Saccharomyces cerevisiae S288C: one gene and its partners. The protein of the gene in region 1 purifies or fractionates together with the protein of each later gene. This does not show direct contact. Each region holds a gene or a part of one and is shown in the gene's direction. Other genes may lie near its edges.

Region 1 (3,949 bases):
AGTCGCACGAAGAAAGAATCCAGGAAATTATTGAGCGTAATAAAGAGATCGAAGCTACTGAGGAGAGGAAGCGCCGTGCTAAGGAAATTGCTAGAAAAGAACATGAAAGGAAACACGGGTTTATGTCTTCAAATGGCGATTACGACGGCGCCAATAGGTTCATGGGAAGTAAAGATCCTAACGTTACAAACGCCATCAACAGTTACTACTCCCATGCTTCTCCTGCAGCACAACAGTCTTATCTACAAAGTTCCCATGCCGCTGCTGCTGAGGTGGCCCCAGTGGCCTCCCCAATGGCTACGTCTCAGCGTGCGGGACATTCTGCTACTGGCGGTATGAAATTGGGTGGTGGTGCCGGAAGAAGAGCGGGTGCCGCACCACGGCCAAGTGCAATTTCTTCAGCCTCTTCTGGCACTCCACCTCCTCCGGAGGAGGATGTCCCAGAGAACAATGGTATTTTGATCTCTATCAAGGAGGTAATCAATGCAGAATTCTCCAGAGATGGTACCATTCACTCTTCTGAATTGAAAGGTGTTTTAGAACTAAGAATTAATGACCATGACTTATCTCACTCGAACCTAAAACTAGCTGATTCTATTGACGTTCGCGATAAATCCTTCCAGTTTAAGACCCATCCAAACATAGATAAACAATCGTTCCTATCCACTAAACTTATCTCCCTGCGTGATAAATCTAAGGCTTTCCCAGCCAACGACCAAAGCCTGGGTGTTCTAAGATGGCGTAAAGTCGCTCCCGCAGAAGATGACTCATTAATTCCATTAACTCTAACTACATGGGTTTCCCCCTCCGAATCACAACAGGGCTTTGATGTCATTATTGAGTATGAGAGCGTCCTGGAAACAGAACTCGCTGATGTGATCTTCACCATTCCAGTTTTCCCTCAGGAGCCAGTAGACATAAATACAGAGTCTTCTACATGCTCTGACGCTGAAGTTGTCAACATGGACCAAGAAATGGGAACCTCCATTAAGATTAGCAAAATTGCTGCCAACGATGCAGGTGCGCTAGCATTCACTATCGAAGCTCCATATGAAGATGCATTGTACCCAATGACCGTTTCCTTCCAAGAGTCCACGAGGGATAAATTAGCTAAGAGTTTCACCGGTATGGCCATACAATCTGTTGTCATGGCCAATGACCACGATCAAGAGCTCCCTTACGACGTCATCACCTCTTTGAAATCAGATGAATATCTTGTCCAATAGTACGTTACATTCACATATAAAATACTTAAGTTATATACACAAACTAAATAAATAAAAATCGAGGTATCTTTTCTTTCGTCCTTCTATATATATAGTTTAACTTACTCTTATTCTTTATTATTTTTCCTTTTAGGGTTACCCGTCAATCCTTTTTATTAAAGATGTTCCAGCTTCTTGGTTTAGAATTTGCCACCTTAAATACGTACCCACATAGTAAAGTACAGCTAAGTTAAGAAAGGGGATAAGCAGCAGGAATCCTTCATCTTCCGCCGAAAACAACATAAAAACCCACACGAATGAATCACGATCCTTTCAGTTGGGGCAGGCCCGCAGACTCTACTTATGGTGCTTACAATACACAAATTGCGAACGCAGGCGCCTCTCCCATGGTTAATACACAGCAACCAATAGTAACAGGTACTTCCGTCATATCAATGAAATATGATAATGGGGTTATCATTGCAGCAGATAATTTAGGTTCATATGGCTCTCTTCTAAGATTCAATGGCGTGGAGAGGCTTATTCCCGTGGGTGATAACACCGTTGTGGGCATTTCAGGTGATATTTCTGATATGCAACACATTGAGAGATTATTGAAAGATCTAGTCACTGAAAATGCGTATGACAATCCTCTAGCGGATGCTGAAGAAGCGCTCGAACCCAGCTATATTTTTGAATATCTAGCTACCGTCATGTACCAGCGAAGATCAAAGATGAATCCACTTTGGAATGCCATCATTGTTGCTGGTGTACAGTCTAATGGTGATCAATTCCTAAGATACGTAAATCTTCTAGGTGTTACGTATTCGTCTCCCACCTTGGCCACAGGTTTTGGGGCACACATGGCAAACCCACTGTTAAGGAAAGTTGTAGATCGAGAATCTGATATTCCAAAGACCACTGTACAGGTTGCTGAAGAGGCGATCGTAAATGCAATGAGAGTTCTTTATTATAGAGATGCCCGTTCTTCTAGAAACTTCTCACTGGCCATAATTGATAAGAACACAGGTTTAACTTTCAAGAAAAACTTGCAAGTTGAAAACATGAAATGGGACTTCGCCAAGGATATTAAAGGCTACGGTACTCAAAAAATTTAGAAGAGTTTTATCCCACCTTCATTAAATACTCATTTTATTTTTATTTTTCAATTCATAATATCATCACTCTTCTCTCTTCCTAAGTAACTACGTTTTTACATAGATATAATGATATGTGTAAAGAAACTATAAAATAACAAAAAAAAATCATAATATTACTGCATCTATCCTTCACCATGCACCACCGCTATTTATGCTCTCCAATTCATGCTCGTTAATAGGTTTGTACCGAAACCTAGCAGGTAGCTCGAAAATGGAAGCAAGCTCATCTTTTTGCAATGGCCTGTTAACGAATACAGAGGTCTTTGACGAGCTGAGACCAGCATTAGCGCTATGCTTTATTGGCACTACACGGAATGGTTTATAATTTTCCATGAATTTACTCACTGGAATACACTCTTTGCTGCCAGGTAACATTCCGTTGGTAGCGCAAGGATGAACAACGACCTCAGTTGCATGCTTCACTAAGGGATGCCTTGTACCGACGAATTTTATCATCGGCTCATATGCACTCTTTGCTAATCTTATAGGTGTAGCAATCATTTCCCTGTCTTCTTGTACTTTTATCTTACTCTTATTATCGGTTAAAAACCTGGGGAAGTACTCCTTAATGGTTTGCTTTAAAGAATTCAATGCGGCTAGAAATGAAAAAGACTTTTAAGATCACTGAAACACTGCAATCTGGCTAAAATATTAGTCTTCACTATCGTCTTTTTCTCCTTTGTTGATGCGAAAGATGAATTTACATATTCGAGTCCCTTAGTCATATTATTGTACTTTTAATGCAATCTTGAGGGGAGCCAATCAACGAGTGGTTTTACTTGCACGTGACCAAGAATGGTAATAACGGTGAAATATATGACTAAAAACCTTGATAACTAAATATATCATTAATTTATTTTTAATGCCGTCTAGAAGGGTGTATGAATATCTATGTAGAAGTATGACGATGAATAATTACATAACGAACGAAAATCTCTGTTAATGAAAATATAACTCCAAATAAAATGACAAGAATAAACCACCATGTAACACGAGCCATGTTTCTTTCAGCAACAGAGTCAACGCATATATCAAAGAATTCCAAGAAAACTTTGCAACGATCATTTAATACTTGTACTCTTTGGTCAATTTCTAAATACTCCCTCATTGCCACGTACAGTGGATGCAAACTTGGTTCGAACGACCAAAAAAACTCGGGTGTATCCAATATGGTGGATGAAAGGTTAACATCCACTCTCAATTTAAAGAGCTTCCCTGATTTTTTCAAAAGCTGTTCCCTTTTTAACCCAAGGGTACCATATAATGCTAGTCTTTTAGGTAGTTTTGTGACTGATATTAAAATCGGCGAAATTCTGGATTCAAACCTTGATAATTTCGAAGATTGCGCAATCGCATGTGATAGTGTCAGCTCGATAATGTGGTCACCTGAACGTAATGTGACAATATCATTGAAAATTCTCGGTCTCTCGGTATCTCTGTCATATTCGAAATGGAATTGTTCAGTTTCAATATCTTGTTCATCCAGCGGCCGGATCATTAAATTCTTATAATCTGCAAATGTTATATCACCAAGAATATTTTTCTCTTGAATTTCAGTAAAGTTCCAAAAAACAATAACGCCAT
Region 2 (4,089 bases), on another chromosome or scaffold:
GGAATGTTGTTTAGTTGACCTTCAATAATCCTTGTTAATGATAGACTTTTCATCCTTGGTACCACAGCAATCTCCGTAGCTGATCTGGGAGTCTTTTCATCAATTATTAGTCTTTTTATTAATGAGCACAACAGGCCTAAATTATCCAATACCTCCATCCTATGTCGAAATTCCATAGTGGCAATATTTTTTAATTTTCTTTCCAGATGATACTTAAATTTAAACGCCAGCGGTTCCATTTCAGTAAAGTTCAACTGCGGTATGCCCAATTCTGGGATTATGTACTCTGCTGAATCGTTGACTGCCGAACTTGGGGGCACAGGGCTCATTAAAGGCTCTGGCTCAAGATCCTCGACAGTTCCTGCCTTTATGGGTGATTGCGAAGAGGATCTCTGTGTTTTTCTTACTGTATTCGCGTTTATAGGAGGCATATTTGGATAATGCTTATAATAGTAATATTTTGACGTTTTTATTTCATGCTTCAAATCATTTACCACCAATGGTGCCAAGTATGGTCTCGCCAAAGAAACAATGAAGTTATTAACATTGAATAGTTCCGTTAACCTAGTATAGGGGCTCTCCGTTATGCTCGGATTGTTGGCATTTTCTGGGGTAAGAAATTTGACTTGTTTATTTTTATTGATGTTAAGAAAAGGCTCAATTTCATTTTCTAAATTTTTACATAATAGTGATGTATCCTCTGAAATTACACCAGAACCAAGTGAGCATTCAATGGCTGACTTGATTAATACGTTTGGGGTTGTCACATAATTTAGTAAATTAGGGCATGATTTATCAGTTGGATGAATAACAATATTGAAAACTTTTCCAGTAATTTGATAAACTTCTTCAAAAGTTTTTTCCTTAACAATATATTTCATAACAAACCGGATAAAAAGATAAACGTCTTGAGAATAACCGTGGTGTATTAGGTTCTGAATCAAAGTCCCCAGGTTTAGGTGCTGCTCTAAATTACCGTATCCACAGCTTTTTAATAAATCTACATCATTCTTGATGATATTCAAGAGGTTGTCATCGGTCAATAATTGCTTTAGTTGCTCATTGGACAAGCAACCGAATAAACTTGCAACGCATGCCCCCATAGAGCTACCACTTATAATATTAGGCATCAGGTCCTGTAACAATAAACCTCTAATCACCCCAAGGTGAAACAGCCCAAACAATGAACCACCTTGCAAGATTAATGCTGTTGTGCCCAGTGACAACTTACATCTTTGGAAAAAGGATGTTGGAGTTAAAGTTTGATTATTTAATATATCCAAGCCTTCTAGAATTCGGGTCAAATATTGTTCAATAAGTAGCTTTGTACCCATCAAAGATTTTGTGAACAACTTTTTATCTCCAATACCCGCAAAGTTCCTCAACATACAAGGGCCTGTAGTCGAAAACTTCTCCTTAACTACATCATACTTCTCCTCCCTTAACATATTTTCCAATATGCTATATTGTTCAATGACAGAATTGAAGTCGTACCTCCTCGAAAAGAAATTCCGCCGCCATAAATTTGCGCCTGTTATTTCATCCACTACGGACGCTTGCTGACACCACATTTGATACGTATCACACTCATCTAACTTCTTAATAGCGTTATAATAAATGACTCTTGAGTGTGGCCGCACATAGTTAATCAGCTTTTGAACCCAGAAGAAATAAATATCGGTGATGACATGTAGAATTTCCCACACAAAAGGAGGTATATGGTCCAATGTGGCATACACTACACGCAGTATCCAGTTTTTCAAAAGGGTCGGTATTACAGCAGACACCTTGTATTCCTGCGCCGTTTCCTTCATGCTTAACGGCAACTCAAAGATGTGATATATGAATAGATGATTCCCTTACTATTGTGTCATAGTACTTCTCTATGTAATCAGTACTAATTTCTATTAGCTGCTACCCAGAAAAAAAAAAACATAAGAAAAAAAGGGTTAGGGTTGAATTTTCAGACCTAGGATAAGTATCTCCGAAATTACTAAAAACCTAGTATTTATTAAAATGCCCTACTAAAAAAGTAAAAATGACCTATAAAGAACATACCCTATTATAGAGTGGCAAAATTAAAAATTCAAAAGTATCGTCAAAGTATGGAAAAGAACCAAGACGCCACTACATTTAGGTAGACGTGGTGATCAATTGAAGTTCAAGAGAAGTGGGTAAGAATACATTGAACTAAGCCTTCATATATTTACAAAACATGTTCAGGAACAATTACGACGGGGACACAGTCACTTTTTCTCCTACAGGCCGTCTGTTCCAAGTGGAATACGCCTTGGAAGCTATTAAACAAGGGAGCGTCACTGTGGGGTTACGTTCGAACACTCATGCTGTTTTAGTAGCGTTGAAAAGAAATGCAGACGAATTGTCATCATACCAGAAAAAAATCATCAAATGTGACGAGCACATGGGGCTCTCGTTAGCCGGGTTGGCTCCAGATGCTAGAGTTTTAAGTAATTATTTGAGACAACAGTGTAATTACTCCAGCTTAGTTTTTAACAGAAAGCTTGCCGTCGAGAGAGCAGGTCATTTGCTTTGCGATAAAGCACAGAAAAATACACAATCCTATGGGGGCAGACCCTACGGTGTTGGTTTGTTGATCATCGGGTATGACAAGAGCGGTGCTCATCTTTTAGAATTCCAACCTTCCGGAAATGTCACAGAACTATATGGTACAGCTATTGGCGCAAGAAGCCAAGGGGCAAAGACTTATCTAGAGAGAACTTTAGACACGTTTATAAAAATTGACGGGAACCCGGATGAACTAATCAAAGCTGGCGTCGAGGCTATCAGCCAGTCTCTAAGGGACGAATCCTTGACTGTAGACAATCTTTCAATCGCCATCGTGGGTAAGGATACGCCTTTTACAATTTACGATGGAGAAGCTGTTGCTAAATACATCTAGGTCTGGACACAAAGTATCGTTTCCACTAAGCAATTGTCAAAGCAAGACCAAAGAAGCCTTTCACCACGGTCGGGGTTTTTTTACATATAAAGATAATAATAGATTAACTTAGTACGTAGTCTCACTTCTCATTCAAAATTAAAAAAGACGTGGCTTCCAAATCAACTAATAACCCCGCTTAATTCCGCCCTCCGCCGGGGAATAAACGGAGTTATCCCCTGTTGAAAATTCAGCATGATTATGTATCACAATACATAGGTGTTCGTCTATAAAAAGAACTACTTATTCTGGATAAACTTTCGAACTCGCTCAAACCTATTTGTTTCTGTACATCGAATAGACCCATAATCACTTCTTGGTTCCAAAAAGTAAAGTAATAGCCAAAAATGTCCCCATTGAACGTCGGTATAGTTGGTACAGGTATTTTTGCCAGAGATAGACATCTCCCATCCTACCAGGAATTTCCTGACAAATTCAAAGTCATTGCCGCCTTCAACAGACATAAGGCAAAAGCTTTGGATTTTGCAAAGGTTGCTGACATACCTGAAAATAAGGTTTACGACAATCTAGATGAAATTTTGAATGACCCTCATGTCGACTACATTGACGCTTTGCTACCTGCTCAATTTAATGCTGATATTGTCGAGAAGGCAGTTAAAGCAGGTAAGCCAGTTATTTTGGAAAAACCAATTGCGGCCAACTTAGACCAAGCAAAGGAGATTGTCAAGATAGCAGAATCCACCCCATTGCCCGTTGGTGTGGCTGAAAATTGGTTATATTTACCATGTATTAAAATCGCAAAGGAGCAGATCGAGAAAATTGGTCCTGTAGTAGCATTCACCCACAATTCTACCGGTCCATTTGTTACTCAAAATAAATATTTGACCACAACCTGGAGACAAAAACCAGAGCACATTGGCGGATTTCTATCTGATGGTGGTGTCCACCAATTAGCTCTCGTTATTTCCCTACTCGGTGAATTTGGATCTGTTTCTGCATTAACGAGACAGGTGCGTGAACGTTCCGGTGCAGATGATATTGTCTTTGCTACTGTCCAGTTGAAAAATAAAGAGGTTATCGGAAGTTTTACTTATGGGTCTGCCTTTGGTGCTACCGAAAAGTCGGTTTTCTTGAAAGTCTATGGTAAGAATGGTACCGTTACCGTTGAC
Region 3 (4,168 bases), on another chromosome or scaffold:
TCATGCCAAAGTGGAGAAAATCTTGAAATACTCAGGTTTAATGACTCCTCGTGATAAGGACTTCATCACCAGATATCAGTTGTCTCAAATTGTCACTGAGGACCCTTACAATGAGGATTTCTACTTCCAGGTCTACAAGATTATCCAAAGAGGCGGTATCACGTCCGAATCCAACAAAGGTTTGATTGCTAGGGCGTATTTGGAACATTCTGGACACAGACTCGGTGGTCGCTATAAGAGAACCGATATTGCCCTACAGAGAATGCAAAGTCAAGTAGAAAAGGCTGTCACTGTGGCTAAGGAAAGACCTTCTAAGTTGAAGGATCAACAAGCGGCTGCTGGTAACTCTAGCCAGGATAATAAGCAAGCAAACACGGTTCTGGGCAAAATCTCTTCCACTTTGAACAGCAAGAATCCAAGAAGACAACTGCAGATCCCCAGACAACAGCCTTCTGACCCCGATGCGCTAAAAGACGTCACTGACTCTCTGACCAACGTGGACTTGGCCTCTTCAGGGTCCTCCTCTACGGGCTCTTCTGCCGCTGCTGTTGCTTCTAAGCAAAGAAGAAGATCTTCATACGCGTTCAACAACGGTAATGGTGCCACAAATTTGAACAAATCTGGGGGCAAAAAATTCATTCTTGAGTTAATTGAAACAGTTTATGAAGAGATTTTAGACTTGGAAGCTAACTTGAGGAATGGCCAGCAAACTGACAGCACTGCAATGTGGGAGGCCCTTCACATCGACGACAGTTCATATGACGTAAACCCTTTCATTTCGATGCTATCATTTGATAAAGGTATCAAGATTATGCCTAGAATTTTTAATTTCTTGGATAAGCAGCAAAAATTGAAAATCCTGCAAAAAATCTTCAATGAATTATCACACTTGCAAATCATCATATTGAGTTCCTACAAGACTACACCAAAACCAACTTTGACACAATTGAAGAAAGTCGATCTGTTCCAAATGATCATATTAAAGATCATTGTCTCGTTTTTGTCTAATAACTCCAATTTTATCGAAATTATGGGTCTGTTGCTACAGTTAATCAGAAACAACAACGTTTCGTTCTTGACCACCTCCAAAATTGGTCTAAATTTGATCACCATTTTGATTTCTCGTGCCGCATTAATCAAGCAAGATTCATCAAGATCTAATATTCTTTCCTCTCCTGAAATCTCCACATGGAATGAGATTTATGATAAATTATTCACTTCATTGGAAAGTAAGATTCAGCTGATTTTCCCTCCAAGGGAATATAACGACCACATCATGCGTTTACAAAATGACAAGTTTATGGATGAAGCATACATTTGGCAGTTCCTAGCTAGTTTAGCACTAAGTGGAAAGCTAAACCACCAGAGAATCATTATTGATGAAGTACGTGATGAAATCTTTGCCACTATTAACGAGGCGGAGACCTTACAAAAGAAAGAGAAAGAATTGAGTGTATTACCTCAGAGGTCTCAAGAATTAGACACAGAGTTAAAATCTATTATTTATAATAAAGAGAAACTATACCAAGATTTGAATTTGTTCCTAAACGTTATGGGGTTGGTGTATCGCGATGGTGAAATATCAGAACTAAAGTAAGATTTTTCCTGTAATTTTAATGTACTTACGCATGTATTTTTTTTTCTCCCTTATTTTTTATTTCCTACCCTTTGTAGATCATTTATTGTATATGTTTTTATATAAGTTTATATAAGTTTGTTATCCTTTTTTTTTCATAAAAAACCCGTATTAGCATCAATAATACCACCATAGTAACGCAAGAGTTAAACAATGATTGAGAATAAGGTTGAACTGGTAGCAGAACTAGTGTTGGAGTCCATCGGTAAAACTGAGGTGGTGTCACGCCATACAGAGGGAACCAAATCATGCCAAGTGAGTTTTCGCATTAAAGATTCTCCCAGTGAGAAGGGTTCAACATCGTTTCTCTCTGAGCTAGTGGTGATTCAGACTCTGGATGACAATGACAAGTATACTGTTGTTATTCGTCATGGTACGTCGATCACCATGGCATGTGTGGTGGGTTACAGCGATTTTAAATTGCCCACAGAATTGAAATGGCCACTAGAAAGAGAAAGCTTACCTGTGGAGCCAGACCTGAAACCTATAATGACACAACTTAAAAGACAAACTGCAGGTAGTGCGGACATGCCAAAATTTGACGATGAGTACCAGGCACAAGCAAGACAAAACCAGGGAACAGCACCGTTGAACCCATATCCCGGACTTACGGTAACTGAACCGAGCTTCGCTAACCCAGCAGGAGGGTATGCGGATGGTGATCTGTATCCTGTTGGCACAAGCCATCCGGATTGGTCTGGAGGGCTTCCCAATCCTCTGGGGAATCCAAGTAGCCAAGGCGGTATGATTTTCGATCCAAATAGAAGACCTGCCCCAAGACGGGAAGATATGCCGCCAGGATGGATGCCTGGATCCAAGTACGACGAACCATTTGGTCCTGGATCTGGCGGATTTGGAGGTTCAGGATCCGGCGGATTTGGAGGGTCAGGATCTGGCTTTATTTAAATGGGTGTTTATTTTAGTACTTTGTTTATTGTGATATTTAGTTTTTAGATAGTATACAGACATAGCTATGTCGAAAGGGAAGGAAAGAATTTATTGAGCGCTGGTATATACAGCTAAAGTGATATCATTGCGTTTGTACAGGTGTACGAGTAGCGAATCTCCTTGAACTTGAGCAAAACCTTCTGCATCCAGCGTAACTTTCGATAAATCACCGATATCTTCGATCCTTTGACTGCCCACGCCGGTAGACTCTATAACGTTACCGTGAGTATCGAAAGCAATGGTTCCCTTAATATCAGATTGTTTTTCCGCTTCCATCTTTGATTTGGTTTAGGTGATTTGGTTTGAGGTTGTGGTATTGCCCTTTAATAGCGGAATCCTTTATATTTTTTGATAATCTTGAAATTTTAAGGTGAGTTTCCATATGTAAACAAGGGAAGAAAAACTAAAAGCAAACAAAAGCAAACGCGAAGCAAAATGGTGTCGTTAGACGATATACTAGGTATCGTGTATGTTACGTCATGGTCGATATCGATGTATCCACCGATAATCACCAATTGGCGCCATAAGTCAGCGAGCGCGATATCGATGGATTTTGTCATGTTAAATACGGCAGGTTACTCTTACCTGGTCATATCCATATTTTTGCAATTGTACTGCTGGAAAATGACGGGTGATGAGTCTGACTTGGGCAGGCCCAAGTTGACGCAATTTGATTTCTGGTATTGCCTGCATGGGTGCTTGATGAATGTTGTCTTATTGACCCAGGTGGTAGCTGGAGCGAGAATCTGGCGATTTCCAGGTAAAGGTCACCGCAAGATGAATCCATGGTACCTAAGGATTTTACTCGCATCACTGGCCATTTTTTCACTGCTAACCGTACAATTTATGTACTCCAACTACTGGTACGATTGGCATAACTCAAGAACTCTGGCGTATTGCAACAATTTGTTTTTACTCAAAATATCGATGTCACTAATCAAGTACATCCCACAAGTGACGCATAACTCGACAAGAAAATCTATGGATTGTTTCCCCATTCAGGGTGTGTTTCTAGATGTCACTGGCGGTATCGCCTCGCTGCTCCAATTGATTTGGCAGTTGTCTAACGATCAAGGTTTCAGTCTGGATACGTTCGTGACAAATTTTGGAAAAGTGGGACTGTCAATGGTAACTTTAATATTCAACTTCATCTTTATCATGCAGTGGTTTGTATATCGATCTCGAGGCCATGATCTGGCGTCAGAGTACCCGCTGTAGCACACAAGGAGAAATCTGCATAATTACGCATATATATATATATATATATATACATAAATATACATAAATATATGTATGTATGTATGTATGTGTGTATGTATGTATGTACACACATGCATGGTTTAAATAGACAAACCTTGGTGGAATTTATACTTTTTTTTGGTGACGAGGACGTCCGTAAGAGCATCGTCGTCAACAAACCATGATACACGACCAGCAGCACCTTCGTTGACAATACTGCTAGGTAGGCCCTTTTCAGGCCTTTCCATAATGGTCTTGATGATGGGCGCCTTGGTTGCACCTTCGACAACGAAAGTAACCCTGTGAGAATGGCAGATTACAGGTATAGTCAGCGAAATTCTGGTC

What was found.
Region 2: the proteins of PRE4 (region 1) and PRE5 purify together in Saccharomyces cerevisiae (affinity purification with mass spectrometry; 3 studies listed by BioGRID). This does not show direct contact.
Region 3: the proteins of PRE4 (region 1) and FUB1 purify together in Saccharomyces cerevisiae (affinity purification with mass spectrometry; 2 studies listed by BioGRID). This does not show direct contact.

The regions. Positions count from the first base shown.
Region 1 is NC_001138.5:247,440-251,388, reverse strand, and holds PRE4 (proteasome core particle subunit beta 7), read left to right. Parts: upstream 1-1,522; coding exon 1,523-2,323; downstream 2,324-3,949. Other genes in the region: RET2 (coatomer subunit delta), read left to right, coding at 1-1,226; alpha-ketoglutarate dehydrogenase subunit KGD4, read right to left, coding at 2,495-2,866; RMD8 (Rmd8p), read right to left, coding at 3,255-3,949. UniProt on the Saccharomyces cerevisiae protein: Non-catalytic component of the proteasome which degrades poly-ubiquitinated proteins in the cytoplasm and in the nucleus. It is essential for the regulated turnover of proteins and for the removal of misfolded proteins.
Region 2 is NC_001145.3:899,494-903,582, forward strand, and holds PRE5 (proteasome core particle subunit alpha 6), read left to right. Parts: upstream 1-2,215; coding exon 2,216-2,920; downstream 2,921-4,089. Other genes in the region: TGL3 (bifunctional triglyceride lipase/lysophosphatidylethanolamine acyltransferase), read right to left, coding at 1-1,814; YMR315W (uncharacterized protein), read left to right, coding at 3,307-4,089. UniProt on the Saccharomyces cerevisiae protein: The proteasome degrades poly-ubiquitinated proteins in the cytoplasm and in the nucleus. It is essential for the regulated turnover of proteins and for the removal of misfolded proteins.
Region 3 is NC_001135.5:247,667-251,834, reverse strand, and holds FUB1 (Fub1p), read left to right. Parts: upstream 1-1,789; coding exon 1,790-2,542; downstream 2,543-4,168. Other genes in the region: deadenylation-dependent mRNA-decapping factor PAT1, read left to right, coding at 1-1,597; EGO2 (Ego2p), read right to left, coding at 2,633-2,860; cystinosin-like protein ERS1, read left to right, coding at 3,020-3,802; SOL2 (Sol2p), read right to left, coding at 3,925-4,168. UniProt on the Saccharomyces cerevisiae protein: Plays a role in the establishment of transcriptional silencing boundaries, preventing the propagation of heterochromatic silencing.